Schizosaccharomyces pombe: one gene and its partners. The gene in region 1 interacts genetically with each later gene. Each region holds a gene or a part of one and is shown on either strand. Other genes may lie near its edges. The genes, in order: pds5, ypa1, alp31 and top2.

What was found.
Region 2: mutations in pds5 (region 1) and ypa1 together harm fitness more than expected from each alone (negative genetic interaction), as found in Schizosaccharomyces pombe (2 studies listed by BioGRID).
Region 3: mutations in pds5 (region 1) and alp31 together harm fitness more than expected from each alone (negative genetic interaction), as found in Schizosaccharomyces pombe (2 studies listed by BioGRID).
Region 4: mutations in pds5 (region 1) and top2 are lethal when combined (synthetic lethality), as found in Schizosaccharomyces pombe (one study listed by BioGRID).

Annotation. Positions count from the first base shown.
Region 1 is NC_003424.3:1,908,224-1,917,894, forward strand, and holds pds5 (mitotic and meiotic cohesin loader subunit Pds5), read left to right. Parts: upstream 1-3,624; 5' UTR 3,625-3,818; coding exon 3,819-7,436; 3' UTR 7,437-7,674; downstream 7,675-9,671. Other genes in the region: serine/threonine protein kinase Ppk1, read left to right, coding at 45-3,116; Rho family GTPase Cdc42, read left to right, coding at 7,885-7,932, 8,096-8,164, 8,595-9,056. UniProt on the Schizosaccharomyces pombe protein: Required for the establishment and maintenance of sister chromatid cohesion during S phase. Prevents their formation until eso1 is present. May also have a role during meiosis.
Region 2 is NC_003424.3:4,833,687-4,840,609, reverse strand, and holds ypa1 (type 2A protein phosphatase regulator), read right to left. Parts: upstream 4,416-6,923; 5' UTR 4,216-4,415; coding exon 3,343-4,215; exon of another isoform or gene 3,300-3,342; coding exon 3,195-3,299; 3' UTR 3,020-3,194; downstream 1-3,019. Other genes in the region: BUD22 family ribosome small subunit biogenesis protein, read right to left, coding at 330-1,496; lip2 (lipoate-protein ligase), read left to right, coding at 2,301-2,960; trm7 (tRNA 2'-O-ribose methyltransferase), read left to right, coding at 4,665-4,688, 4,907-5,740; aspartyl metalloaminopeptidase Ape4, read right to left, coding at 6,182-6,923. UniProt on the Schizosaccharomyces pombe protein: PPIases accelerate the folding of proteins. It catalyzes the cis-trans isomerization of proline imidic peptide bonds in oligopeptides.
Region 3 is NC_003424.3:3,373,302-3,379,950, forward strand, and holds alp31 (tubulin-specific chaperone cofactor A Alp31), read left to right. Parts: upstream 1-3,804; 5' UTR 3,805-3,846; coding exon 3,847-3,915; intron 3,916-3,978; coding exon 3,979-4,065; intron 4,066-4,217; coding exon 4,218-4,421; 3' UTR 4,422-4,599; coding exon of another isoform or gene 4,600-4,657; 3' UTR 4,658-4,702; coding exon of another isoform or gene 4,703-4,720; 3' UTR 4,721-4,767; downstream 4,768-6,649. Other genes in the region: SPOM_SPAC8E11.10 (sorbose reductase), read right to left, coding at 1-683; SPOM_SPAC8E11.12 (uncharacterized protein), read left to right, coding at 1,395-1,703; SPOM_SPAC8E11.08C (uncharacterized protein), read left to right, coding at 2,215-2,517; SPOM_SPAC8E11.06 (uncharacterized protein), read right to left, coding at 4,600-4,657, 4,703-4,720, 4,768-4,793; SPOM_SPAC8E11.05C (uncharacterized protein), read left to right, coding at 4,971-5,987. UniProt on the Schizosaccharomyces pombe protein: Required for the maintenance of microtubule structures and cell polarity. Beta-tubulin-folding protein; may have a regulatory role in the tubulin-folding pathway.
Region 4 is NC_003423.3:1,974,425-1,983,035, forward strand, and holds top2 (DNA topoisomerase II), read right to left. Parts: upstream 6,844-8,611; 5' UTR 6,343-6,843; coding exon 6,259-6,342; intron 6,233-6,258; exon of another isoform or gene 6,203-6,232; coding exon 1,829-6,202; 3' UTR 1,737-1,828; downstream 1-1,736. Other genes in the region: 3-isopropylmalate dehydrogenase Leu1, read right to left, coding at 64-1,179. UniProt on the Schizosaccharomyces pombe protein: Control of topological states of DNA by transient breakage and subsequent rejoining of DNA strands. Topoisomerase II makes double-strand breaks.

The DNA of each region.
Region 1 (9,671 bases):
CCCACTGCCTTCTGAATCTTTATTTATTGCTTTTCTTCAAAGCTATGAACGCTCAACCCTTTCATAACAACACTTCAGATGTGCAATCCTTTCAGGACATTATAAGCAATTCCTATCAAAAACCTTTGAGCTTAGTTGACAGTACTGATCGTGCACTACCGGATTCTTCTCTTTCAAGCTTATCACGATCTACCTTTCAATTTCACAAGCATCACCTTTCTGGCAATGAGAATCCTCAGCCCTCTTCCGAAAGCCCCTACTTCACTAACAATGAACGTTTGAATTCCTCTAGTTTCCCTCAAATCCATGATAATCAATTATCTCCATCTTTTAACACTTCTTATCAAGCCATTCCTTCCTCCTCCTCTAATCGATCCCGTGGTGGTCCTTACACCCCAAGCATTCGAGATGACTCTCTTCTAGCTTTACTCAGTTTCTCCTCGAATCATCGTCTGCATTCTATGCCCTCTCAACTTCAGCCTTTTAATAATGCATCATCATACACTACTCCAATGGCCCCTTTTACGGCATCCTTTTCTAACAAGGTTTCTCATTCTGCTTACCCCACAAGGAGGCTACCTAGTCAGGCAAAAAAAACATCGGCAATAGAGAGAGTTCCGGTCAATCTCAATTTCCTACAGTCGGACAACTTGGTTGTGCAGTCATCGCCGCAAACGAATTTTGAAAACTTTGAGTTTCCGAAAAAGATTCCATCAAAAGAAGATTTGGAAACTCGTGAAGTGTTATTACTCCCTCCGCAAACGTCTAAACTCTCAAACAAAAATTTGGACACCAAAAGTTTTACCGATGTTAACAAAATTTCCCAACAAGGATTTGTGGAAATCAGTTCAAATTCTTCAAAAGTTACCCCCAATACAAGCTTGCATCAATCCTTTGGCATAGCAAGCTCCTCTTCCAATAATTATATGCAGACATCGTCTGAACTTACCTCTTCTACCGAGAAGATGAATGGATCGCATCCTTTGCAATTGTCGAATAAGTCATTATTGTCGATCCATCTTATGCAGTCTAAAAACCAAGGTCATGTTTCGATGACAGGTTCAGATAAACTCTCTTCTCATGTACAGTCCGAAACCGAGAATGCTCCTGTAAGTAAACCAAGTAAACCAAATACTTTGACTGAAGATGAAAAACCTTTACAGTCTACGAAGCTCCCTGGAAATTCTCTTACTGTTGGTGAATTATACCAAGAACCCAAAAGTATCCAGCTGCCCGAATTGTCTGTTTCACGGACTACTTATTCGGCTCAATCCTCTTCTGTCAAAAATTGCAACGAACGCATTCCCTCTGCTAAAGCTCTAAAAAAGCAAAAGCATTTAGTTCCGGAAAACAAATCAAAATTGCAATATGTATGGCAGAAAAAAGAAAGCCTCCCTTATGCTAACCTTACTTCCGCAAGTAATACGCACTTTTTTCTGTCGGAAAACCAGAACGACACTTCTGAACGGTTGACCCGTACTTTGAGAAAAAGCACAAAAAACTATACGTTTGGCTCTTATATATTGGGAAGGACAATCGGTACCGGCGAGTTTGGAAAGGTTAAACTTGGCTGGCCTTTACCAAAAGCCAATTCTACTATTCACCGCTCAACACCGCAAGTTGTAATTAAAATAGTTTTGTCTACGAAGCAAAACTGTCAAACAAGCCGATTGATGCGAGAGGTGGCCATTTTAAAAGGTTTGGGTAATAATCACCCCCATATTGTAAAATATTTGGATTTTGTAAAAACTAAACATCATTTTGGTATAGTACTAGACTATGTTAATGGTGGTGAACTTTTTGATTATATACTGGCGCGCCGAAGACTTGAAGATTCGGTTGCTTGCCGACTGTTCGCACAATTAATAAGTGGTGTTGCCTATTTACATTCTCGAGGAGTGGTACATAGAGATCTGAAGTTGGAGAATATATTGCTAGATACTAATCGAAATATCGTAATTGCGGATTTCGGCTTTGCGACTACTTTTGGGCACTTTAATACTCTCAGTGAACACTCATTGCCCACGGAAAAGCCAGATTTATTTAGTACATCATGTGGATCGCCTTGTTATGCGGCCCCTGAATTAGTGAATTGCAAGTCTGGAATGTATGCTGGCACACAAGCAGATATTTGGAGTTGCGGTGTCATTTTATATGCAATGTTGGCTGGGTATCTACCATTTGACGATGATCCACACAATCCAAATGGAGAAAATGTCCCTCGACTCTATCGGTATATTTGCAGTACTCCTTTAATATTTCCGGAGTTCTTTAAAAGCAAAGCTCGCGACATTCTTAAAAAAATTTTAGTTCCTGATCCAGCAAAACGTGTCCGAATGTCAGCAATTATGAATCACGCATATCTCCGGTCTCATGTGTCTCTATTTGAAACGTATAACGATGATGAAGCGACCTCACTGCGTCCGTCTCCCATCCGTTTGCTTTCTCAAAAATCTTTAGCTAGTGTTTCTTCAGTTTCGTCAATCAGCACTTACTCTTCTTCCATTGAATTGACTCCTCAGATCACAAAAACTTCATTAAATCGAGAAAAACCGGCATTACATGGCAGCATCAATCTTAAACACTCAACGAGGCCGGTTGTACCAATTGCAGATGGTATCTATGCTTCTACTACTCTTCATCCAATCGATAATGCTAAAAACCGCTTGGTTTCTTTACTGCGCCGTCCCAAGCATAAGGTTAAGCATGCCAAAGTTGAAACACGTGAATCTCCTATGAAAAATAAGCCAACTAAGAAACAACACAAGCGTGCATTTAGCATGTTTGAGAGGCCCACTTCTCAGAAAGCCCCATTGTCACCAGTAGAAAGCAAGATTAACCTTATGGTTGCTCCTAAACGTGTATTAAATTGTGCTTCAGATTCTTTAAGAGCTTTATTAGCAGGAAAGACGGATAAATCTTTTTGGGGTTCACGTATACCATTCTTGTTTAATAAATTGAAATCCAAACAGAAGGCTGTATCCAGCTCCTTCAATACGGAAAACTCATTTTTAATTCTTCAAGCAGTTTCGCCTTTAACTTTTGGAGGTTGTTTCAAAGAAGAAAACGCGTATGGGCAGAAGAAGCAGCACATGAGACACGCTACCGTTTTTTAATGTTTGCGTTACGATATTGTATATCTCAACAATGCATGATAATTATCAAACTGCCTGTTTCCTATATTAGTTTTTTAAAAAGATGGCTCTTCGACTTTTTCTTAAGAAAAGCGGTTTATATGGTTATCAATTATTAAAGCTTGAATTGATTGTTTGACAATGTTGAACAATGGGTTTCCTAAAAAAAGACGCTTTAGCTGATTTTTATCGTTTATCAGCGTGTATATTACTTGCCTTGTACTTTACAGTTTCCGCTTTTCATCTTTATTCTAACTTTTTATTTTAATTTTTAATTTTTTGGTACAAGCACCTTTCGTTCTTTAAACTACTTTTAAACTATTAAATTTCTTTCACTCATATGTCCTTATATCTAATTCACTCGTTAATAATATTTTATCATTACCCTTGAGTTATACTTATTAGTAAATAGTGTAATATTTTAATTACAATAAATGGAACGCGTTCTTTTACGCGTCTCTTCTTTAAGCAAGTACATTGCGAGTCTAACACGAACGTAATAAAGAGTTGAGCACCACATTTTGAAATCGCATCTTTCAAGCTTCAATATTGCGAAGTACTAATTAATAAAATCAGCCTATGGCTCTTATGGATATAGAGCATTGAAAGTTTACTGCATTTGTCATTTATTTGTTAAATACCCAAGGTGAATAGTACAAAAGCGTGCAAAAGCCAACTTTTGCGATGATAAAGTTACAGTTTCAAAGAAACATTGTCCCAACACATGACAATCCGTTAACGACTTCCGAGATTTTAAAACGACTACGTGATTTACTAGGAGAGCTTACTAGCCTATCCCAAGATACTATCGACCGTGACTCAGTATTGCCAGTAGCACGATCATTAGTAAATAACAATTTGCTCCATCACAAAGATAAAGGGATACGCTCTTATACACTTTGTTGTATTGTTGAATTGCTTCGTTTATGTGCCCCCGATGCGCCCTTCACTTTATCACAATTGGAAGATATTTTCCAAGTAATTCTCAAAATTCTTAGTGGTCTTATGAATCAAGAATCTACTTATTATCCACAAATTTACGAGATATTAGAGAGTTTGTCGAACGTTAAATCTGCAGTTCTAATAGTTGATCTCCCGAATGCTGAAGAATTCTTAGTAAATATCTTTCGTCTCTTCTTTGATTTAGCGAGAAAGGGTACTACCAAGAATGTCGAGTTTTACATGCTTGATATTATTAACCAGTTGATCAATGAGATTAACACCATTCCTGCTGCTGCCTTGAACATACTATTTGCTCAACTAATATCAGGAAAGGGCGTAAGGCAAACAATTGGCTCTTCCGATTCTACTAATCACGGTCCAGCTTTTCAACTAGCGAGAAATATTTTTCATGACTCAGCAGATCGACTACAAAGATATGTTTGCCAGTATTTCTCAGATATTATATTCGATTCAAGAGATTCGCTTTCTGACTCCATGACTACTCCAGAATTTATATTCTCGCACAATTTAGTTTTACAATTATGGAAATATGCACCAACCACGTTATTGAACATTATTCCACAATTCGAAAATGAATTGCAAGCTGAACAAACTAGTGTGCGACTTGTGGCGATAGAAACTGTTGGTTTGATGCTCCAAGACAACGCCATATGGTCCGATTATCCTAGGGTATGGAGTGCATTTTGTGGTCGGCTCAATGATAAATCAGTTGCATGTCGTATCAAATGCATTGAAGTTGCTTCCAACGCTCTTCAGAATTCATTGGCTACTTCTGAGATAATTGAAAACGTAGTTCAAATGCTTCAATCAAAGTTGGCCGACACGGATGAAAAGGTGCGGGTTGCTACTCTTAAAACGATCGAACAGTTGACTTTCGAAACCTTTAAAATGCAATTTTCAGTACAGGCTTTGAAACTCATGGGTGACCGTTTACGTGATCGTAAACTCAATGTTCGTTTACAAGCAATTCGGACACTAAGTCAAATTTATAATAGAGCATATCAAGACCTTATAGATGGTGTGGAATACTCAATACAGATGTTCAGCTGGATCCCTTCATCTCTTTTGGAAGTATTTTATGTTAATGATGAAACAACTAATGCGGCTGTTGAAATTTGTATGGCTGAACTGGTCCTACAATACCTTAGTTCTGATACGCAAACAAGGTTAAACAGGCTTTTCCTTTCAATAAAGTATTTTAGTGAAAAAGCGATGCGAGTTTTTATTCTACTTTTACAAAGACAAGTTAAGTATTCGGAACTCTTAAATTACTACATTGAGTGCTGCAAAAATTACAATGGAGGTGTTATGGATAATGATGAAGAGTCAATTACCAACAAGCTTAAGAAGGTGATTGATATCATATCATCAAAAAGTTCTAATCCTACATTAACAGAAGCCACTTTCAGAAAATTTGCGGAACTTAATGATCGTCAAAGCTACAAAATGCTTTTACAAACGTTTTCCATTAAAAGTGAATATCAAGTTGTTTTAAAAAGCATAAAATATTTATTTAAAAGGGTTTCTGAAACGTTGAGTACCGCAAGTCTTGAATGTTTTAGAATATTCGTTTACCGTTCAGCTCTGTTTGCTTTTAATAAAAGCAACGTGCATGAAATAATTCAATTATTAAATGAACCTGTAAAATACCACAATTTCCTTAAGCCGTCGGAGGCTCTTTTACAGCATTTACCGCTAATTCATCCCAACATATATGGAGAGGTTGTTATAGAAGTTGAAAATATTATAGTTTCTTCGGGCATTGAATCGGATCCTAAAGTAATTAAAGCTCTTTCCCAATTCTCCAAAAGAAAAAAAAATTTTTCTATACAAACAACAACTGCTGAAATACTACGAAAGTTGTGTCTACATGGAACACAGGAACAAGCCAAACAGGCAGCGACGATTATCGCTATAACGGAGACGAAAGAATTCAAACTCGATATGATAACGAATATCGTGGAAAATTTGGAGTATAATGGAGGACTTCCTGTACGGCTTATGACTTTAGGACAACTATTTCTATACACTTTAGAAGAGGTAGAGAAGGTTGCTGACCAAGTTACAGAATTTTTAGTAAAAAAAGTTATACAGCGCTTTCCTGAAAAATATGATGATACGCATAATGATGAGGAATGGTGTACTTACGAAAAATTAGATAATCTTACCATGTGCAAAGTTTTAGCAATTAGGGTTTTGGTTAATCGACTGAGGGCGGCGGCAGGAGGAACCGAAGCGTTAAATATTGGAGCTCCTATCATTAAGCTATTGAAAGTATTGTTAATGGCTGACGGTGAATTAAGTCCGTTCAAGAATACTCCCAAAATTTCTCGTGCTTATTTACGTCTCACTGCTAGCAAATATTTTTTAAAGTTATGTTCCATTCCTTTTTATGCGGAACATATAGATTTTAGTTCTTACGTTCAAATCTCCTTATTATGCCAAGATGAAAATTTTGACGTGAGAAATTTATTTTTGACGAAGCTTCAGAAGCAGCTGCAACTTAAAAAGTTGCCAATTAGTTATTATCCTTTATTGTTCCTGACTGCTGTTGATCCGGAAGAGGAGATCAAGACTAAAGCGTCTATATGGATACGTTCTCAGGTTGCTTTTTTCCAGAAAACCCATGATTTTACCATGGAATATGTAGCAACATATCTTATCCATCTTCTCTCTCACCATCCAGACATATCTTCGATAGAATCAGAGAACTCGCTTGATTTTATTGCATACATTCGCTTTTACGTTGACACTGTTGTTAATAGTGAGAACGTCCCAATCGTTTTTCATCTAATGCAACGCATAAAACAAAGCTATGATGTTATTGAAGATGGAAACAATTACATTTATGTGCTAAGCGACATGGCTCAGAAAATATTGCAGGTGAAATCCCAGAACTTTGGATGGAGTTTGACTACGTATCCAAAGCAAATTAAATTACCTTACGAAATTTTAAGACCAATTCCCTCTATAGATGAGAAAAAGAGAATTTTCAATAAAATCTTCATAACGCCTAAAATGGAAAGTCAGATTGAACATGCTATAAGGACACCAGTCTCATCTTTTGCGAAACAGACTACCAATAAGCACGCAAATTTGAAGCAAAAGAAGACTCATAGCTCAAAGAGCGATAAAAAATCGTCTAGAAGAAGGAAAAACGAAAAAAGGAGAAAGCTAAATGAGCAGAATCCTAATATTAGGAACGTGCCAGAACGAAGTAGCTCAAGATTTCAAGGGATTCGTATAAATTATTCGGAAGCACCGTCTTCAAGTGAGGAGATAAGCGAAGAAGAGGAGGAAATTAGCGAAGAAGATTTTGATGAAATAGAGGATTTATAAAAAAGGCTTATTTGGATGCGAAATACCGATACTAGAACACTTACCCAATATTACCAATGAATTTTCAATGTTAATTAGATAAATTGCTATCTTTTTTGTTAAACAATCTATGCTTGCTAATTGCCTAAACTTTTGAAAGATGACTCCATCACATACATGCCTCCATAACTTCTGCATCTATTAATTTTTTTCATTCCTAGTAATATAATAATAAAAGTTGCATTTTTGAGTTTTTTTACGCTTTACAATTCGTAAAATCTAATAGTGAGATTGGATTAGCCGCTGTAGTATATCTTAATAAAGCATGGCTGGGCGAACTAATTACGGTGACCGCACAATATATTTACCTACAACCAACACCGGTGTTTGATACTTAGGGGTTTGAACTTTCTAGGAATTCAATAAAGTGAAGCAAAGCTTTACGATTAATTATTTTTTGTGAAATAGTATGCCCACCATTAAGTGTGTCGTAGTAGGAGACGGTGCTGTAGGAAAGGTGAGTTGATGTTTACGGAAGGTGAAGTTAAGCAATGCATAAAAAAATACAAGAATTGCTATCATCTAAAATGAAGTTTCTTTTGTCTATACATTCCCCTTTATTTCTTTCTTTCCAAAAATTGTTCTTTTGAGTTTTACACATACTGACCGTTTGAATGTAGACCTGTCTGCTTATTTCCTATACTACAAACAAGTTTCCTAGTGACTATGTGCCAACTGTATTCGATAATGTAAGTATAATTAGTTGTTTATGGAATGAAGTACTTGGTGAAGTTTTGTCCCCATATTAGAAATTTTTTACTATTCAAATGTTCGGTCACGGAAAATTTTGATATAAGGCTTTTTGTCAAAAAAAGGCTGAAGGATTAAACAATGACTCAATGTATTTATCGATTTTATCTCAGAAACTATTGAAAGTTTAATAATTTTTTTTTATCCGATGCTTTTTTTTTTCCACACTAGATCTAAAGACCGTAGGAAGCCTTATCTCGTAAGGAATAAGATGAGGCGACCACTTTCTTTCCCAGGAAGATTTGGTCGTTATTATTTCTGCTATTTGCTATATTGGGGACTATTCTAACTTTCTTGTTGCTTTTACTCCCGTTTTTAATTGATATAGCTGATTTTCATTTTATAGTAAAGATTTACTGACTAAAATAGTATGCTGTCACTGTCATGATCGGTGATGAACCATACACTCTTGGTTTATTCGATACCGCTGGTCAGGAGGATTATGATCGCTTGCGTCCTTTATCCTATCCTCAAACAGACGTCTTTTTGGTTTGTTTTAGTGTAACTTCTCCTGCCAGTTTTGAAAATGTGAAAGAAAAGTGGTTTCCCGAAGTTCATCATCATTGTCCGGGCGTCCCGTGCTTAATTGTTGGTACCCAAATTGATTTACGTGATGACCCTTCTGTGCAACAGAAACTAGCTCGCCAGCATCAGCATCCCCTTACACATGAGCAAGGTGAACGATTAGCTCGTGAGTTGGGTGCTGTCAAGTATGTTGAGTGTTCCGCTTTGACCCAAAAAGGGTTAAAGAATGTTTTTGATGAAGCTATTGTAGCCGCTCTTGATCCTCCTGTTCCTCACAAGAAAAAGTCAAAGTGTTTGGTACTGTAATTTAACCCCTGGTTTTCTTTCCTTTTCCGAAATTTCCTTAATACAGCTAGTTTACAACAGTAAACAATGTCTTAGCTTTCTTTAACGATCCCTCATATTTGCAAAGATATTTGCTATTTGTTGTTTTCATCCTAGCTTTTGTGCTTCTTCATTCATTCTGTCAATCACACACTTCTTGGGCTTTACATATCTGTGTTTTCTGGCTAGGCATATTTCCTTTTTCCGTTAAATAAACGACGATTTTGCTATACTTTTGCTACATTATTGTATTCTTCTGCCATTACTCGCAGAATTCGGTATGGTCCGACTTTGATTTTAGCTCTAATATTAGTGTAGCCAGGTAATTCGCAAATAATATTATTTCATTTGTTAGAAAATAAATCGATAATTTAATCATTTTTAGGTGATACGATTATGTTGACTCATTTGCTCTTGTCGCTAGAGCATTAAAGGAGAAAAAATGGATCTACAGTATTGCTTAAATACATGTGATTATTTTAAAGCTTCTGCAATAGTTTGTTTTATTAACAATGACTATATTTTAACTTACTTCCAGTAATTCTGATAAGAAAGATATCTAAATTGAAATGTATCCTACCGAAACCCAGTTGAGAT
Region 2 (6,923 bases), 2.9 Mb from region 1:
ATATACTGTTTATCTAGCTAGTGTAGGTATTAATTGAAATTGTAATTTAGTTTCTAATAATTTAAAAAATCACAGTTATTGAAAATTTAAATTTACTAGTTAGCAACAGAAACATCATGAATAATAGTAATTTGTTAGCTCTGTTTATTCTGTGTATAAAATATTAGCAACGTATACAGTTTCAAGATATTAATACAATCTTCTAGCTGCGATTTGAGCAATGTAAAACGCTATGATGTTTTACCATTGTTTTGAAAAAAAGAGGATGTTTCTTACTTCCTGAATATCGAAAAAAAGCACTACTATTTTATAAATTGGAATGTTTAAGATTAGTCAAAAACTATTTTTTTACCCTGGAATGCTGCACTAGAAGGCATTTTTTGTTTCCTTTTAGCCTCCCAAGAGGGATGCAGTTGCTCTGGTTTTTGAGGTGTTTGGTGCTCCGTAAAAGCATTTTCACGAGCAGCACGTTTAGCTTGCCTTTCTTCATACTTTCTCTGTCTTTCTTCACGAATACTCCTTTCTTCAGTCGCTTTTTTTATCAAATGGTTAGCACCTTTACCATACTTTTTTTCCCAAATAGCTTGTCTAGCTCTTTGACCACGACGATTTTTACGCTTCGGGATATCTACTTCTTCTAACTCCTTTTCGACAAATTCATCATCACTTTCGACTGGATCTAAGAAGCCCGCTGTAAGGGCAGGCAGATTAGTATTGTTATGTTTGCCCAGAGGAATTTCCAACATCTCATCATCAATTATAGACTTCCTGTTTATTAAAGTAGCATTTTGAAGAGATGATTCTTTTACACCTTCATTTTTCATAGAATATGACATAGACTTGTTGATTTCTTTGTCCTCAGTATTATCCAAAATCATACCAGTATCTTGATTAACGCCATCGGTGCTATTTTGAACATGGGTATTATCCACTTGGTCTTGATTAGAAGTTGATTTGTTTGACAAATCTACTTTTCCGATGGTCTTAATGGGTTTTTGGGTAGAAGACACAGCCTTTTTATCTGACAACTCTTGTAAATCGGGGTTTAAGAAACGAAGATACTTTTCGAGTATTGAGTTGATGTTTCGAATGGCATCAGATAATTGCTTGGAATTTAAAATTCTAGCAACGGTATTTCTCTGAGCATCCTCAGTCAAATCTGCAGGAAAATCAACATGAAGATTTTCGTTCAGTAACTTCCGAAAATCCTTGTTTTTAAGGATTTTTTTATAATAGCAATAATCAACAAATTTGGTGAAGTCAAATTGTTTGGCAAATTCAAATTCTGCCTCAAAACGGCCAAGAGTATCAGCATCTTCACTGGCTCTACAATTTTTAATTCTTCGTACAAGCTTTTGCCGTTCAAAGGTAGATGCCTTTTTCAATGCCTGTGATATTTTTTTCTTAAATAGAGGTATCTTTTTTGGAACATCATCGACACTTAATTGAGAGTGATGACTTTTTCTTTTGACGCCTTTGTGAGACGTAAAAACCATTTAAAAAATTATGCAAACCCTGAGTATAACCCACTAAAATCCAAAAAAACCAAATGAAATTTCTATAATAGTAAGTTTTGTGTTATTATGCCCAATTATAGCATAACCAGCAAAATATACAATTTTTTACCGATGTGGTGAAGAGTAATTTCACCGTATACGCCCCACAGATAATATAGCATCATCAGTGCTCTTTACAATTAAGGTGAATAATTATAAAACTTAATTTTAATCAATTCATATAGACTATTATTAGAATCAGCGAAGGAGTACCATTCTCTGTCCTGCTGGATTATGAAGCAAGCCAAAATGACTAGCATGCAGTTTTAAACAACATGGGCGCTTATTAAAATGTTTAAACTAAAATCTGGACTTAGTTTGAACAGTAGCCGCTGTTGTGTTCTTCTTTGTTTTAGTAACCTTAATGTTATTTAAGTTCAAAAGAATAAAAAAATTGCTTTGCCTTTAAATTTTACAAGTTATAATCGTTTAAACACGGGTGATTGAAACAGTTTAGATATATTCTTATGTATTCAGCTAATAACTCAGAAATGTAAAAACTGAATTTTAATATGTTCTATTTTTTTTGATTCTTTTAGATTGATCAATTGGAGAAAACCTGCAAGAGTATACATTCAAGCCATCCTCCTAGCAACTGTCGTTAAATAATTGCACCTGCTCTACGGCTTTAGATGCTCGCTCCGGTTAAGCCGAATTCATAGATTCTTTTCCTCTTTTTACATTTTTACACTCTTTTATAATATTCTTTTTATTATCAGCATAAATCAGAGTTAAGTGTATTGAATGAATAAAATCCAGCATATTTCTTTTATCACCAAAAAAAATCCTCTCGTGAGCTATGAGAGGGTTGGAGCGTTACAAAATCGATTTGTTCAACATTATTTAAATTATAAAGCAAATAAGGTTGAACAGCCACCGAAGCCAACGATTATCACTTCTCAAGTTTGTCCAGTGTATACACTGGGAAGAAGGGAATCTTCAATTAATTTTACCAAAGGCTTCCCTAAGGCTAAAGTTGTTAAAGCATTGCGTGGTGGGCAAACTACATTTCATGGTCCTGGTCAAATACTTGCATATCCTATTATTGATTTGAAGTCCTTTGGATTAAGTCCACGTGAATATGTGTCAAGGCTAGAGCAAGCGATTATAGCAACATGTAAAAGCTTTGGCATCGAAAAAGCTCATACAACAAAAAACACCGGTGTGTGGGTAACAGAAAACGATAAAATTGCAGCAATTGGTATTCATTTACGCCGAAATATTACTAGTCATGGTCTTGCGCTCAATGTTAGTACGGATCTTAAGTATTTCAATTACATTGTGGGTTGCGGATTATATGGAAAAAACACTACCAGTTTTAAAGACCAAGGAGTTTTTACTGACTTAAAGTCTGTAGAGAAGGTACTGGTAAATAACCTTGATAGCTTTTTAATGAGTAAATAAATTTAAATGTATTAGAAACAGTATTACTTATAAAAAATATAATGCAATAACAGTAATGCTATTCTTGCGATAATTTGGTTTATTAAAAATTTTTTCAGTAAATTTGCGGGCTTTCCTTCCTTTTGGCCCCTATAAAATAGCTTATCAGCAACCATAAAAGATACAATAAATAAAACATAACATTAATAACAGTGACTATTTGTTTTTGAAATTGCACGAAAGATTAAAGTTAAACTACTTTGCAACTAAAGGGTTAAACGGAAAGAGATTTCCAAAATGAAAGTGTTGAACAACAGGATATTTGCTCAGCACTTCCACATCGTACATTTTTATCAATCCCTTGAAAGTAATTAGCTTAATAAATACACACTTCTTAACATACCTGATTGACCTTTGACCATATAGGAACAGCGGTTATATCATACAATATTGGGGAATGTTCGTAAAATGGGCCCTTTTTCATCACGTTTATAAACTTGATAGCACTAAAATACAAGTTGCTATTAGCTTTTTCATCCACTATTTTTTTGTTAAGTATAGCATCAGGCTTTATGATGGAAGATGATGCCTTATCAGCAAGTTGGGCAGAACCAAAAATATAAGGAATAAAAAAATGATCATCAAGCCCCCAAACTCCATGTGAGCCAGCAGGCTCTAAGCGATAAGTTTGAACGAGCTCACGACAAACTTCCAAGTAAACATGGGTTATGTACAAGGCGATAGCTTTATAATCTGCGGCATCTAAAAGTCCCAGCAAGTCCAAGCCCTTAATAAAACCCAAAAAATTTAACTCATGACCCGTACCAAAGTCAATTCTTTGAGAATTACCAAACGATCCCAAAAAATAGTCCAGTAACTCCACTTTTGCCTTACTCAATGAATCAGGAATAATGATGTCCATAATTTGAGAGGCGGAGTCACGTAGCTTTTCGTGCCATATTCGAAAAGCAGGATTACCAAACCGATGCCGACCTGATGCAGGTGGTACAGTTTTAGTAATTTCTTTAACTCTACACAATATTCGTACTAACTTTTCAACTCTTGTTGAGTATTCCACATGATAATCGTTCACACCCACAGATGCAATATTGAGACGCTGTAAAAAATCAAAAATTCGATAATATGCTTTCGATTGTCGAAACGCCGTCATATCGCTCGCCTCCACGATTAGTTTTTCGGGAGTTTTAAACTGTGAACTTTCATCAAACCTTTCATTTTCAAGCTCTAGTATTGTTTTCTCATCTACGACTTGCATTGTAAAGCAATAAACAATGAATCAATCAAGTTCGCGTATACGCCAATAGATTTACGACACTCACTAAGTTACAGGCTTTGATGAACGACTCTTTATTAAAAAAAACCAGGACCAAGTTAAAGAATATAACAGCAACTATAACAGCATTTAAAAACAGCTTGATATTGCTTTCATCAAGATAGAGTATAATAGCAGTATTCGAGAAGAAGCATTTAGCTTATTCAATAACTTGATTAAGATTAGTTTAACGATAATTAGTACTATGGATGTGATTATATCCTAAAATCTTTATAGTGATGTATCCATATGTTAATTCGAACCACTTCATAACAATACGCTACCGAAATAATTATCTCCTAATCAATATTTAACGATATGTTTATTCAATACAATCGATGCAAGAAACGAATATAATAATTTCAACCAGTTTTTACCAAACTGAAAAACAAATGGGGAGAAGCAGCAAAGATAAGGTATGTCTCGTGCGTTACTGAAACCTTGTAAATACTTAACTTTGTAGCGAAAAGTTTACGTTAATTTTATCGAAGTTATATCGTATATTAATGTGTAAACTTTAATGTTTCTCAGTCGCATATAGAAACATTTTAGTTTATTATTTCATTTTTTTTTTATTGCTAAATAATTATTTAACTATTTATTTTGTTAAAATACTAACTTTACACTTTTTTAGAGAGATGCCTATTATCGTCTGGCGAAGGAACAAGGGTGGAGAGCCCGCTCAGCTTTCAAATTGCTCCAATTAAACGAACAGTTCAATTTATTTGAAGGAGCAAAAAGAGTTGTAGACTTATGTGCTGCACCGGGGTCTTGGTCTCAAGTTTTGTCTCGTGAGTTACTCAAAAACATTGATACTTCCATTGCCGCAGATGAGAAACCTATGATTGTTGCTGTTGATCTTCAACCCATGGCACCAATCGATGGGGTATGCACCCTGCAATTAGACATTACTCATCCCAACACCCTTTCAATTATTTTGTCTCACTTTGGTAATGAACCGGCTGATCTCGTAGTTAGTGATGGTGCCCCAGATGTTACTGGTTTGCACGACCTAGATGAATATATTCAAGCACAGATATTGTTAGCTGCATTTAATTTAGCGGTTTGTGTTTTAAAGCCTGGTGGGAAATTTGTTGCAAAAATTTTTCGTGGACGAGATGTTTCACTGTTATACTCTCAGCTTCGTTTGATGTTTCGAAAAGTTTCTTGTGCTAAACCAAGAAGCTCTCGTGCTAGCTCTATCGAGTCCTTTGTCGTTTGTGAAGATTTTAACCCCCCTTCTAATTTTCAACCCGATTTAACAAAACCTTTATGTGTAATCGATCCAACCAATGCTCATGAGATTGCACCATTTATTGCATGTGGTGACCTTGATGGTTATGATGCGGACGCTACTTATCCCGTTGAAATAAATATGAAAAAGGCTACCTTAGACGTTATACAACCTCCAACCGCTCCTCCTTATAAACGAGCTATCGAATTGAAGCATAGCAAGATGATGTCGTAACCTATTATTCCAATTGTCTCTTTTTTATTTAATCTTTTCTTTCGTTTAATTTAGCAGTGGGTTTTACTATTGTATATTATATAGGTATAATCTATTTTTGAACCTATCATTCTTTTTTCATAAAAAAATTAAAGAAAGCAGGATGTGTTCGGTATACTTATAATCAGAATTTCCTCTTATGAATTTTTATCTAAATCAATTACTTTTGATACACACATGCTTTCGTTGAAAGACTTGCTAGTCATGTTTAACTTTATACCTTGCTATAGCAAATCATGGGGTTATGATTATAATTGTCATGTGGATATCATTTTCATAACTATAAGAGAGGCAACTAGTACTACTCATAGCACGGCCAACAGATACGAGTTCGGTAAATTTCATGGCGTTCTTATGAACCCATAGTATCATGAGGTGTAAGACATAAACAAACTTGGTAAACTATTCATCAATAATGATTTTTTCTTCCAAATTTGCAAAGTTTTGAAAAAATGAAGAGAATAAGACGACTGCATACTCAAAGTCCTTGGAGCCACACATTTCACGGCAAGAGTGCATAGAAAGCATAGGATTTCCTAAATCGAGTGTACGCATTCCTGTCATGGCAGCAAGTTTGGGACCAATAGTGCTTCCACAAGGAGAATCATTTCGCACCACGAATGACTGAATTGGCACATCGGCGAGTTGAGCTACTTTCTTTAAAAGGACTATGCCTGCGGAATTAGTCGTATAACGCTGATTCGCATTAACTTTAATTACAGTTCCTTTGTTCAAAAATGGGGTATTCGAATTTTCATAGCGAGATGAGTAATTGGGATGCATGGCATGAGCCATGTCAGCAGAAACTAGAAAACTTTTTACCATGGAAATTGAAAACAAAGAACTTTCTTTCCCCAGCTCGCATATTCTTTGGAGAACAGCTGGTAAAAACGTGCTTTCAGCACCTTGAGCTGACACGGAACCGATTTCCTCGTGGTCAAAGGAGGGAACAACTCTAACGCAACTTTCATTATCAAGGGAGTTATTTTCCAATGATTTAGTTAAAGCTTGAGATGCGCAAAATGTCATTCCAAGGTTATCGAGACGAGGTGAGAATACAAACTCTTCGTGAATTCCGCCAAGGCGAGCCTTTTCAGCATCACCTAGAATCAACTCAAAATCCACAATTTTGGAAGGATCTATA
Region 3 (6,649 bases), 1.5 Mb from region 1:
CCGGGAAGCTCATCAGGTAGACCAATACGGGCTTGAGGAGTATACTCCTTCCATTTCTTACGCAAGTTTTCATCAGCGTACAGAGTCAAATCTGTGTCAATGTAGCCAGGAGACACGGAGTTGACACGAGCGAAAGGGGCCCACTCAACGGCAAGAGCGCGAGCCAGATGTTTGACAGCAGCCTTGGTAGCATGATAAGAAGCCCATTGTTGAGGCCAATTGGCAATGTGACCACTCATACTAGCCGTGAAGATCAAACTGCCCTTTCCTTGCTTCTTAAAATGATGGCCAGCAGCCTGTGCAGTATAATAAGCACCGTTCAGGTTTATGCCCACGACCTTGGTCCAGATGTCTTCATTCTTATCTTCCAAGGATAAGTGGGGAATCGCAATACCAGCATTAGCAATCATTACATCCAAACGACCACCCAATTCCTCAACTGCCTGGTTGGTGGTTTCAATTACAGCACTACGGTTCTCAATGGGGCAAGAATAAGCCTTGGCTTGAACACCATGTTTGTCGCGTAATTCAGCAGCATACTCAAGAGCCTTTTTGTTACGACCGTACAAAAGACCAACATTAGATCCAGCGGCAGCGAATGCTTTAGCAATCGAAAATCCGATACCGCCTGAACCACCGGTGATGAGAGTGGTTTTACCTTTAAGAGAAAACATAGAAGTCATTATGAGATATATGAAAAAAACCGAACGATGTAATAATTATTAAGAAAAAAAAAACCCCACAAAAATATTTTAGCGAACAAAAAGTGGTAGTAAAATTTATGAACACCGGTTTAATAGCTTTTGATTAGATGAAAAGCAAAAATTTTTTTCCGAAAGATTTTTAATAGTAAGAGAAGGCACTCTTGGCAACCAGAAAGAAAAATTGCTTTGTGGCAATGGACCCAAGGCTTTTATACAAAAAATTTCCTCTTTTTGACACACAGAAAGAGCAGTCCTAAATAGTGTTGTTGGAAAAAATATATGTGTAAATAAACGATTTGCAAAGGAGGAAAAAAATAGCGCAAATAGACAAAACGGTCGTTTTACTCGAGTGACACTAGTAGATCCATCAAACCGATAATATCGGGTATTGTGATGGCTGAGTGGAAAGTTTGAATGAATAACTGCGAGAAACTAGGCTACACACATAGGAGTCAAAATAGTGTAACCCGCAAAATATAGAAATCCAATTCATAAATGTGAGAATGACAATTCATTTATTATAAATTGGAAACTCATTTCATCTTTTCTTTTTTTTTCGTGAAATACTACGAGTTTCTCTTAAATCCGGGGAGAAAGTACGGATAAAATCCCATGATTAAGAAGGGGAGCGTCGGACGACAAAGGTAGCTTAAATTAACAAATGGCCAAGTGATTTTGGCCATTTGGGGTATGATTTCGCTTCTCTCGATCAAGATGCAAGCGATTAAAGAACTGGACTCGGAAGAGGAACCAAAAGTTGGCGAGTTCTATAAGGGCAACACAATTTCGTTTTGCAAAAATTCGCTTGAAAATGATACTCAATTACCTCAAATTCTCTTCTGCATTAATCCTAAATCCATCCGAAATTTTCTTTTTCCACCCATAGCAATATCAGATCCGAAAGAAGCTCAAAATCACTGTTCGTCTTACTATTATATTAAGTACCGGTATTATATTGTACAGTCAAGATGCGGGATGATGGGAAGAATGTCTTTTTAAATATTATCTAAAAAAGGTAATAGTTACATGTTAATAACTATATATATATATTTCCAGACTATACTAGTAAAGTAACGGTTGAAAAAATGTGTAAGTAGAAGAACTATTAAACTTAATTGCGTTCAGTAGTTTCTGCATGGTTTTTAACTAAAACCATGTTCGATATTGTTAACTATTAAATATACTTATTCAAAAAAAAAGAACACCAGATTCTCCTGTCACGCATCTAGGTTTCCAGTTTTTCATCTGTTCCCTCATTAACGTTCTACCAGTTGCCCGCATTGTTCCAGAAGATCAACCCAAATCTGAACGAGATGCAATAGCCTGGAGACTACCAGAGTCTTCATTTTACCCGACCGAGATCGTTTCCATGGTCGGAATCGAACACTGGAATACTTGAGACTTGGCGAAAAATGAGTATTATACAAGGGAAGAAAAGAAGAAGAAAATAAAAGGATAATTTATGTTTTACGGCAATAAAATAATGAATTAATAAGCAAGAAGTATTAAAATGGACTTTACCACTAATGAGGTTCTGTTTAGTAGGTTAGTAGTCTGTAAAAATTTGACAAGAAAAAATTTTCCGTTTCTTCAATTGAAGGGGAGCTCCATTTTAAGATTTGAATGGTCTGAAGAAATGTATAGATTGTATATATGGTTGTTACCGTACCGAAAAGACTATAATGAAAAGTTTAAGGGAATTCTAATAAATCCTTCTATTTTTCTTCTTGGCTGTCATCATGTTCAAATATGCAGTTTTCCGAACAACCTTGTATTTTTCATGGGAAAATGCGATTTGTTTCGTTTTTGTTAGCTTTGTTTGAATACCATTTTTTAACTTATGCGATACTTTCTAAACGGAGTTCACTTTTTAAATTAATCTATATCAACTGAGCCGTTCAATTCAATCCCTTTTTTTATATCAGCTTGTAAACAAACGTTTCAGGAAATGAGAAAGTTCAAAAAGCGTTAAACAGTGAATGCTTGTATGTTGAGCTTTGACTTGTTTGCAAATGTTTAATTGTCGAAATTCATCATCTGTATCTGTCCAAAGTTGTGAACTGACAAGATAGAGATTAATTTGTTAGATCACGCAAAGTACGATATGTTTAAAATGCTTATACCAGGTTGCAGTCTTTGTTTTTCATAGCTTTGCAAAAAAAAAAGTGGATTAAAATACTAATGACTACTAGGGTTCGAAAGGTTGCTGTTCGATTATGAAAAAGCGTTCACTCTTTTATCTCCCAAGCGATGATTTGAATTTTTGATGCATCTGTGGCGTAGAATATGATCAATCATTTTAGAAAACAGAATAATATTCAAGGATCCATTTAAAGTCCTATATAGAGTAAAGGATTTTAGCTATTATCCTCACATTGAAGACTGGTCCCATTATACCGAAGTCTGTTGACATTAATATCGTTGTACCGGCTTTTTGAGTAGACTAAATATCTTGTACAGGATCTACTTTGAAAGAGGGTATTAGGTCCTTTTTTTATTTTTTGTTTTCCAAGGATTAAGATAGAAGCTGAATTTTTTTGGCTAGGCAAAGTTGACTAATTATTAACAGACTGTGGTTCGAGTGATTAGCAATCAACCTATCCTTATATGAAATCGTGCTTTTAACAATTTCGGTTGTTGGGAGATAACTGTGTGTACGGAGAATCAGAAATTTTTGTTTTGGAAAATATTTGTAAAAGCAATTACGTCTAAATATAATGAATTACGCGCTAGAAAATTTTCATATAGCTGAATCCCGAAAAGCTCAACCTCCCATATGATTGAGCATCCATAAAAGCATGAAATTTTTGGTACAAGTATCGGTGAATCGTAAATTTAGAAATAACTGAGCAATTTTATCTCATACATAATATAGGAATGAAACGTTTGTCGATCAATAACTAGTCTGATACTTGATGCAAACATTTAATCAAATACCCTTTTTTAGGAATTTAAGGAAAGGGCTTTAAAAGAAATTGAAAACTTAACTAGAACTAGCTTTTCTTAATCGTTTCTCGTAACTTATCACCACACGCTAACATTAGCATTCCTTTGTATTCCAACGTTACCTACACTGCAGTCAAGGAAAATCATCCAACCTAACATTATTCCTTTGCATATCGCGTCCATTTTATTTTCTACCATGTCAAATACTGTTAGGAGCTTAGTCATCAAAACTAATGTCGTTAAAAGAATTATTAAAGATGTAGAAGTAAGTTTCCTTTTTGGATCGCGATTTTGTAGATGGAATTTTCTGACCTCAACAATTGTTTAGTTGGCTCATATCGATATTAACGAGGCCGAGAAACGTGTACAAAGTAAAATTGATAATGGGGAAGATTCTGCAGAAATTGAGCATCAGGTATGTTGCATTAGTTGAAACCATATAAACGTTGGACGTGTTGTGCTAGAAGATGTTTCTACCAAGCTGAAGATACTTTTCGGTGGTTTCCGCTTTAGCGTATCTTTTTTAAAATAAAAAATAATCAAAGTACTGACATTCTGGACCTCTAGAAATTTGTTTTGAAGAAGCATCTTGAGGCGTTGCCAGATGCTCTTGTACGTCTTCGTAATGCGACGAACGACTTGGAATCCATTTCTTCTGACAGTGCATACGAAGGAACTCCTGAACTTGAACAAGCAAATGAATATTTAGAAAAAGCAAAAGAAGTAATTGAAAAAGAGCAAACGAATTTCCCCACGAATGGGTACCACTGAATACACATTTACTAGCTTTTGTAGATCCCTGCTAAAATTTATTACTGACCCTTCAAAAGACGATCATGAAAAGGTTCTACGTTCATCATTCTTTACCCACCCTTTCAATGCTATCCTACTCAACTGTACTGTGTCTTCGATTTTTATTCCAATCCATTAAAATAATAGACAATCCCAACTACTTAAGGATTATCCAAGTCATGCTTAAATCTTTTTTAAGATTTCGCCAATCTATTCTAATTTTGCCAGTTAGGTGAAACTGTTCACATAAAAAAACATACGTATTCCCCTTTATTCTACTAGAGATTTAAATTTTAGCTGGACAATCAAACAATTTTAAAACAACCAAATGTTCCTGCTAACAAGCAGCATAGACAGTCGTCCTCTAGTATTTATTTGCACTTTTATTGTGAGTGTAATGTAGCGTATCACTATGTTAGATTGTACAGCTCATTGTTTGACGTTACTTACCATCTGAGCAAAGAGAAAGAAACACTTCGCGTGAACATTAAACAGATTGGGAGCATAAAACGTTCCATTTGTATACCTATGGCAAGTCCGCCAATATTATCAAGGGAATCACCTGTGTTGGGTTTAGAAGAAGAGAAGAAATCTGACGGCGGCAACTCTGAAGTAAATATTGACCCTTCTGCATCTTCATCGTTGAAGGAAGATGTAGATGGCGAAGAGGGAGCTGATACAAAAATAGATCCACACCTTCTTGAAGAAGATGATTTAAATCCTGTAGAGGATTACGATTCTAAAAACCAAAAAGTCGTTGAAGCATCTAAACTTGACCTTGACGCTACATCAACTGTTTGGGCGGAGAGTCTTAGTATTAATAGAGAAGCTAGTATTTCCCAATCAGGCATTGTAGACAATGAAATGGAGAAAAAAGTTGAAGAGGAAGAAGAGTTTGACGAATTTGACGATTTTGGTGAATTTGAACATGATATCCCCATCTGTACATTTATGGGTGATTGGCAAGATGATTTCCAAGATGCTGTCAATTCTGTATTTGGACTACCTGAAACTCCGAAAACAATTGAAGAATCCTCCTTGGATCCGGATCGTATATTGTCTCTTTGGCAAAAACTGATTGAAATGCCCGTGCTGCAACGGCCAGATTGGCTGAGGTCTAGCATCAGGCATATTTTTTTAGTTACTATGGGTCTTCCTGTTGATTTGGATGAACTTTTGCCTACTCCTTCTACCCAGGGATCATTCAATTCTTCACGCACAATAGAATTGTCTTCCGTGACGTTGCCAAAATCTGAGGATGAACCATATTTAGATTATTCAGCTGCTCGTCGTTTATGCAGCATAAACAAAGACGCATTAACCCACCGATCTCATGAGTCTTTACAACAGCATATAGAGTTACTAGAATCAACTCTGCAGCAAGCTGTTGAAGTTGCTCGATATTGGACCGATAAAAGGGATTCAGCTCTTAGCGATAAGTTGTTATATGAGACGGTTGTCGATGATTTAGTTCAACATAGCAAACGTTTAAGAAACTCTGGTCGTAAATTCCTTTCTAGAAGGAGCACTTCCTCTCATAAATGATCCCTTTATATCTTTAATTACCGACCTCTTTTCCTGAATTGCTGTTTTCTTGTTTAATTTTACGGGAGTAAAATAAAACGGAAGCGTTTTATTTTTGTTGCTGACGAACCTTTGTTACGTCTAACGTGATTAGATTTGACTTGTGATTCAGCTGTATTGTCTTCTTCGATTCTTTTGCCTCTTCTCTTCTTTTTAATGACTAATATTTTAATGACTCTTCTCTATGTGTTTATCAATATTATGTCAACCACTTGTAAATATAAATGGAACAGTATCCTAACCTAAGCGCCATTCTTGGTTATTTACATAATAGTCCATAATTATCTCTAAAGAAAAGGAGCAAATTTTGATTCACTGTTGGTACTTAAGTTATTCATCGTTAAAAAAACATTAAGAACATTTGTCGACACATTTCTGGCAAATTGATAACAACTTGAATGAACTGTTAAAATTATAAGCAGGAAGTTGAAATTTTATTTTTATTTATACTTATTCGTTAGACTTGCATTTGGAATGCTTTGGATTTACTAGTACCCTTATTCTCTTACAACCTGGACGTTCCTAGTAATATCAAACAATTAATTGACTTATGGAATTAGATGGCTTATCGACTAAAAAAAGCTAAGGCATTTCTTGACTAAAAACGCAAGGAAAGGACTATA
Region 4 (8,611 bases), on another chromosome or scaffold:
ACAATTAATCAATAAAAATTAGGTCAAATCAAATCATATGAATTTATTCTACATTAAACCCTATTACAAAATTTTTTCAAGTTCTTCAACAACAGCCTTAGTAATATCAGCGGTAGAAGCCTCACCTCCCAAATCGCGAGTATAAAGACCACGTCCACCAATTGAAGTATCATCCAAGACCTTGCGTACGGCGGCTTCGATAGCTTCAGCCTCCTTAGGAGCATTCAAACCATAACGAAGGAGAAGGGAAGCAGATAAAATTGTACCAACAGGATTAACAATGCCCTTGCCAGCGATATCGGGAGCGCTACCGTGAATGGGCTCAACCAAACAATGAACCTTTTCTTCTGATTTTCCTACCACACCGGAAAGGGAGGCAGAAGGCAAAAGGCCCAAGCTACCAGGAATGACAGAAGCCTCATCTGAAATAATGTCACCAAACAAGTTGTCAGTCAAAACAACACCGTTAAGTGTACGAGGGCTCTTGACCAAAAGCATGGCTGCGGAGTCAATGAGCTGGTTTTTTAAGGTAAGGTGAGGATATTCCTCCTTAAAAATCTTAGCTACAGTCTTGCGCCAAAGACGAGAAGTTGCCAAAACATTAGCTTTGTCGAGTAATGTGACGGGAGCAGGAGGGTTGGAAGTTTCAGCTAACCAAGCAGCCAAACGAGCAATACGAGAAACTTCTTCCAAACTGTAAGGCCAAGTGTCCATAGCATAACCCGATCCGTTGTCCTCAGTGCGCTCACCAAAGTAACAACCTCCAGTAAGTTCTCGTACAACACAAAAATCGACACCTTCAACGATTTCAGGCTTCAAAGGGCTGTACTTGACTAAAGACTTGCTGGCAAAGTTGCAAGGTCGAAGGTTGGCCCAAACACCCATACTCTTACGAAGCTTCAATAAACCTTGCTCAGGACGACAATTGGGGTTGGTCCATTCAGGACCACCAACGGCACCCAAAAGAACACCGTCAGCTTCCAAACAAGCCTTCACAGTCTCGTCAGTCAAAGGGGTTCCATAGGCATCAATAGAGGCACCTCCAATCTTGTGTTCTTCAAACTCGAGTTTTAACTCAGGTCGCTTCTTCTCAACGACTTTCAAAACCTCCAAGGCAGAAGCAACAATTTCAGGGCCAATATGGTCTCCTGGTAAGACGACGATTTTCTTTGCACACATGTTGTTGAAGAAGTTTTGTTGTGAAATGGTTTCGTGAAAGTTTCAGACCCTACCGCAAAAATGCCTGGTTTCGGGAAACTCAACACTGTTGCACTTTTTATACTACAGATTGGGATATCGATAATATTGCGTAAAAAATCCTTTTTTTAAAAAGCTTGTTTACAGTAACGTAAATGACCAGAAATCAGATGAAAATCACAAGAAAGCAAATAATTCACGTTAAATCCTGATATGTTTGATTTTGTGATGAAATCATGGATGTTCATAGGAATTGTTGAAATTGCGCTTTTTTAACGAAATATACAAGTATCCTGGAGCTTACTTAATTAATTAATGAATCTTTGTTTCTAGATATTAAAATAGTAGCCTCAATTATCAGCGCTTTCTACGTTAGTAAACGAAATTTTTAATGTCAAAAAAATGTTTAATAGACAGTACGAATATGCATTATAATGTTCATAAATAATTTGAGTATGTGTACGAGTTGTCTTTAAACCCACAGAGGTAGAATGTATATATAAAATTAATAAGCTAAGTGTAATACTTAAAAAATACATTAATTGGAACTCGTATCCTACCATTTACAATGTTCATCCAATTTTTTCAGATTGTACTGTAAATAGCGTTTGAAAACACCAAATTTTAGAAGCTAATCACTCTCATCATAATCGTCTACATCCTCATCGTTATCGACGATAAAAGAATCATCTTGCATGCTGGGTTCATCCATGCTATCAAACGAGGGATCAACGTAAATAGGTGTTTTCACTGTAGCCGCTGCTCTTCTGGTTGGCCTCTTTCTAATCGGAGAATCTGAATCTTCTGGTGGCTCTGCGTTAGTCGAACTAGCTTTTGGAGTTGAACTACTACCTGGAATAATAAAATCATCATCGTCATCTTCAGGTGATTGTTTCTTTACCGAGCTTGCTTTTTTCCCTTTATTCTTCGCAGAAGCCTTCGTGGATGTTATGGTGGAAGGTTTCAAACTGCTAGGCAACAAATCATCTTCATCGTCTGAAGAAAATATGGTAGTAGCAACTGGTTTATTAGTCTTTCTTCCTCTTCCAGACGCCGAGGCTGCTATTTTTTTGACGGGTTTTTTACTACCTGCGTCTTCAGAGTCAACAGATTGACTTCTTTTTCTTGATTTTCCACTATCACTGCTATCCAATCCCGGGCTCTTAGATATGCGATTTTCTTCAACTGATAAGCCATGAGAGTTATCCTCTGTCTTGACAATGTTTATGTCAGATGATTTCTCAGGTTCTTTCGACGCTGCGAACTCAAGTAAAGTTTGTTGCTTTCGATTTGTTGTAGATGGTTTGGATTCGCTGCTAGCTTCTTTTTTAACAGCAGTACTTGAGGAGGATCCGGCAATAGCCCTGGGTTTCCTAGTACCAGTGGATTTACCTCGAGGCTTCTTTTTCGTTCGATTTACAAAATCTCTAGAGGATTGCTCTTCTTCTAACATTTCTCTCTGAATATCATCCATAACCTTATTCCAAGCATGCTCAAATGCATCCAAATCATGAAGCCACAATTCTTTAGGAGTTTTTTTAATCAAAGCATCCAGTTCGGCCATTACTTCGTCCTTTTTCTTGAGAAGTTCCACATACCGTTCATAGGTCAAAGACCATAAAGGCATTGAAAGAAGGTAATTGTAGGCATCTGAATCCTCGTCTTGCGAAACATCACCAGATTGTTCTTCTTCAGCAAGAGCATTTTCAACTTCTAAATCAACCAAATGCCCTTTCTTTGGTTTACTGATAGGTTGAAACTTCTTTTCCTTCAGCTCCACAATGAGATCCTTTTTCTTCTTTTTTGAAACTACAAGCTCCCCCTCTATAATCATATGAATAAACCGCGCTTGATTTGAAAATCTATCAAACCTTTTTTCCAATTCATTAACCATATGCTCTTTACGTCTCTGGTATGTCCTTAAACGTACTTCGTAAAACTCGGTCAAAATATCTTCAACACTGTCATACTTCTTGATCCGTCCAGATGCATCAAAAGCAATCATATTACTCGTTGCTTGAGTACGCGACAGTTTAAACTTAACTTCCAAGGATTCATTTAATGCTTCTTTCATGCCAGCTTCGGTAAGCGTGACATTAAAGTGAACATTTCCTTCACCGTGATGGCTTTCATAGTCCACGATGAATTTACGAATTTTTTCCGTACCAACAAGACCAGCCTCCAGATACTCCTTCATATCCTGAGTCCAAAATCGTATAGGCAATTCAGTAATTTCTACTTTGTTTTCACCAATTTGGTTAATTATACCAGATATTTTGTACCTGTCAGGCGCAACTTTCGTTATACTTCCACGAAAGCCGCGGTACCAGGGAGTCATAATTTCCAAAGGCTCGCCATTAAGCATATGTCTTAAATTAGCAGTTATATCCTTAGGGTTATAATTAGGAATAAAAGTAGACCAGCCAGTACCAATACCTTCGGCTCCATTGACAAGTACCATGGGAAGAATTGGCACATAATACTCTGGTTCAATCCACTGGCCTTCGTCGTTTTGGTAATTAAGAAGCTGGTCATCATTGGAATTAAATAAAACACGTGCTAAGGGTGATAAAGCTGTATTTAGATACCTTGAAGCCGATGCATTTTTTCCACCCTCAGATCGTGTACCGAATTGTCCATTAGGCATCAGCAAATTAATGTTGTTACTGCCAACAAAATTTTGGGCAAGATTAACTATAGTTTGCTCCATCGAAACCTCGCCATGGTGGTATGCAGTTTCACTAGCAACATAGCCGGCAAGTCTACTGACTTTAGTTTCATGGACGAGATTGCGTTTAAAACAATAATAGACAACTTTACGCTGACCAGGCTTCAAGCCATCTACTACTGAAGGAATCGAACGGATATTATCAGCCATACTGAATTGGATAAGCTCTCGATTAATGAAGTCATCAATCGGAATCTGAGGTTGAGTATAATCCATATATATACCAGGTCGATACGTTCTAAGCCATTCCTTACGCACATCGGCCTTTTTCTTGGCAAATGCCATTTCAATTAATTCAGCATCCTTCTCCTGCATGGCATGAAAGTACTTCATGTGACGATCAAGGTCTGAAAAATAACTTTTCATATCGTCATGGTCACTTGTTCCCAAACCCTTGTAGTATTTAATTTTCCAACCACGTCCATTGTTATTAGCTTCCTTCCAGTATTCGTACTCGGGTAAAGTGTAAAATGCTTGAACCTGATTGCCACGAGTGCACTTAATGATAGGTGTGATAAATTGGATCAAGAATCCAGGAATTTGCAAAAGAGAAGGATACGAGGATTCTAAATAATTAATAATTAAACCTTTAATATGTGATCCATCATGATCTTGATCTGTCATAATCATTAAATGACCATAACGAAGACCTTTCACATCGGTATAAGTTTTTTTATGAGTGAATCCCATGATTTTCTTGATAGCTTGAATTTCTTTGTTATTTAGGATTTGGGAATGAGAAGCCTCCCGTACATTCAGTAGTTTTCCTCTTAACGGAAAAACTCCATAATAGTCTCTACCAACAACACTGAGACCCGAAACAGCTAAAGATTTAGCAGAATCTCCCTCAGTGAGGATAAGGACACACTTATGGGATTCTTTGGTACCCGCTTTATTTGCGTCTTCGAGTTTGGTTAAACCCGTTATACGAGAACGCAAACCCCCATCGCCCTTACTGAGTTGCTGATCTGCCTTAGCGGTAGCAAATTTTAAAACCTCCTCCACTACAGAAGATTTTTTGATAGCTTTTAAAAATTTATCACTTAATGTGCATTGAGAGCCAAAAGCAGAAACTTTCGTGGTGAGAGTCTCCTTTGTTTGGGAATCAAAGGATGGGTTCTCTATTTGACAATTGACAAATACCTGTACGTAATTTTTTATTTGAAACGCTTTAACGGGTGCCTTTTTATTCTCCTTCTTGACGACTTCATCTATAGCATCGACAATTTTATTGGCAACATAATTAACATGTGTACCTCCACGAATGGTAGAAATATTGTTAACAAACGAAACCTGCTTAAACTGTCCATCTGAAACAGCAAAGGCCACGTCCCAACGGTCATTAACATGTTCATAAATTACCCTAGGAGGCTCTTCATCAGGTTTAGTGTCAGAAGCAAGATACATCTCCACATATTTCTTAAATCCACTTATACTGATGCGTTCATTGTTCAGGTAAACTTTAGTTTCACGAACGGTACCTGCCATATCATAAATACGGCGTTTTATAATAGATACCATATCATCATCAATCTTGTCCATACCAAATTTTGCTAAATCGGGTTTGAATGTAATTTTTGTGTATTCATCGGGTTTCTTGAGAGAAGTGATCACTGGCTCAGACTTTCTGGACATATTGTCATACCAAGTTTGTTTATATTTCTTCATCCTTTCCTTATCAGCTGTCTCAACGACAAATTCAGTAGAAAAAATATTGCAAAGTTTTGCGCCGTAACCATTTCTTCCTCCTGTTACCTTCTTTTGATTATCGTCGTAATTGCTTGAAGTAAGCAAGTTACCAAAAATAAGCTCGGGGATGTAAATTTTCTCTTTATCATGAATCTCTATAGGAATGCCCTTGCCATTGTTATAAATTGATATGACATTTGCTTCAGGATCCAAAGTCACCTTTAGGGTATTCATGTTTGGGTCGCGAACTTTGTTGTCAGCAGCATTGACAATTATTTCGTCAAATATCTTGTAAAGGCCTGGAACATAGGTCACTGCTTTGTAATCCAGCTTGTTCTTCTCAGAGTCAAAGACCCACATTTCAGAAGTCGTTGGCTCAATACTGCCAATGTATGTATCCGGACGTCTTAGCACATGCTCTCTCGGTGTAAGACGCTGGTACTGTGTAGATACATTAGAATTTCCATTTCCGTTGTTGGTAACTAGTGGTATCTGTTCAGAAGCTGTCATGGATGTCAAGCTAGTTTGCCTTAAGTCAGGAGTGCTTGCCTTCTTGGCGCGAGACTTTGAGGATGTTGTAGATGCTTTCTAAAAAAGTTGTTAGTATTTTAAAATAATAATAAATTCCACAAACACTTGCATACCCTTTTGGTGGTTGTGTTAGGTAAAACGTTTTCGTCTCCAGACGCTTCATCTTCATAGTCGGAGAAATCCGCATCAATGGACATAGTTTGTAAAATTAAGTTGGAAATATGTAGTAAATCAAAGGTTATTCCAACGTGTAAACGTTATTATTAAAAAATCAATGGATATAATAATGACACGCTTTAAGCAACGTCAAATAACAAAATTAAGATATGTAAGAAGAGAAAATGATATTTGCCCTTAGTATACGATATTAAAAAACGAATGGAGAAGTGACCTGAAAAAAAAGTAATGGATAAAAAAGAAGGTAGAACGAATGAATACCAAATATAATGTTTTTTGTTAATTTGGATTAATTTTTTGGTTTAAAAAAGTATTAAATAGATATTCAAGCGTTTATATCACCACAGACTGATTCACGTATGTAGAAAGTCGGTCAAAGCAAACGCGTGACGAAAAACTAATAGTATGATGGAAACTTCAGAGATTGTATGTATGATAGTACTAATTTAAATAGTTTGTTTAAAAGCTCTAAAGGGCTATGTGTTCAACTATCCCAACAATGATTGAAGTTGGTAGCTGGTGAAGGATAGGAAGAGAGAACAGAACATAAGTAGATAGAAGTTGCAACCGAGGAATTGATTACTACGGAAAAAGAAAAAGAAAATTATTTTTAAGAATAAATAGCAAAAGAAAGGATTTCTAAATTTCCGTGCGTTATTAATATAGGGATGCGCTTAAAACATAATTGAAGTCTGTAAAAAAACCGTATTTGGAACATATGCTGTAACTAATTTGTAAAGCAAATGTAATAATTAATTAATTGTATAATAAAGAATGTTTGTGCTTTGAAATTAAAATTGAAATTCTTGGTGCTATTTTATATAGTATGGAATAAACAAAGGATTTTGAAAATGGAAAATGAATGTTTAGATAAATCCATAATTCATGAGTATGCTCGCAAAGATTGTAAAAGAATTGAGTGACCTATTACAGTTGGTCATTTGAAAGAAAAACGCTAAACACGATAAAAAGAGATGAACGGAAAGCAATGATGGAAACAGAAACTGCTTTTTTAAATTCTTCTTGATTGTACCATCAGCATTAATCCATATTATTTCGATTAAGCTGTTCTTGAAACATTGTTGTATGTAACTATCATTAAGTTCAAACAATTTAATAGTAATTTTGTGAATATAGCTTCTCCCTCTATTTAACAATTGCAGGTATGAAACAGGAACAAAAACATAGAAAGAACTCTCAAACAACAGACTCATCTAATAAATGCAATAAACTTTTTTCTGAAAATCTTAAAAGAAGCTGCAAATGTAACAAAAAATGGTAGGCCCAGCAGATAGCTGATGCATGGGTTTAAGTATTTCCATTATTTATCGATGTTGCCAACCAATTCCCATTAATGGACGAAAAATAGTGTGAAGTCGATTGTTTAATAAGGAGAGTTACAAAATGGAAGCGCAAGACAAACGCATATTCGGAGTCACTCTTTCAAGGTATAAGCAAGCATTGGATAGCCAAAACGAAATGTGTAGGATCTGAGCAAGAAAAATGCTTTTTGAAGTATCTCAGACAGCTGCTCATAAGTCAGTAAGCGATAAATTATTTAATGGAAGAAAAGAGTGGATCAATAGATCGGCGGCTTCTTTCATTGGATATTCGCACAAAATGTTAATTGACCTAAATTTGAGCCATCTAACATAACCATCACTTCCCTAATTTCCTGTGTATAATAGTCCAAAAAAACGGAATCGGACATCGCGAACATATTCCGCTCGATCAGAGCAGATCAAAAGGTTGATTCTTCAGTGTCCCACATTATAAGGCTATTTCTCGCTTACCAAGGAACACATCAGACCTCCTGAACTTATCCTCCACCAACGTCCTCTTCATTTTAAAATTCATTTTATTGAAAAAAAATCATATTTCTAGCTATCTTGCACCTCTATTTGGCCTTTGCTTATCCCCGGATCCACGTTGGATATTTGCTCGCCTATCGAATAGTATATTAAAAAAAGTTCGCTTGAGAAAAAAATTATTTGTCAAAGTCGAAAGTGGAAAGACGTTTTTAAAAGAAGTATTTTGTGGCAAAGAAGTCAATATCTAAGAAGAAAAAAAGTTTCGGTTGATCTGTAACTAAAATCAGCGTCAAAATAGCATCACCAATACGTCCGAGTGAGAAGCATCAAGGTTCCTCAAAATCAAGAAAAACTTTACCAATATTACTTCTATTGTTTTATCTAGCATTAAAAATAATTTCATTTAAATACAATCCTAGAGCGGGATTGTTGAAAAGAAACCCAACCTAATCTTAGTTTATTTGAATTTGCTCAGCTA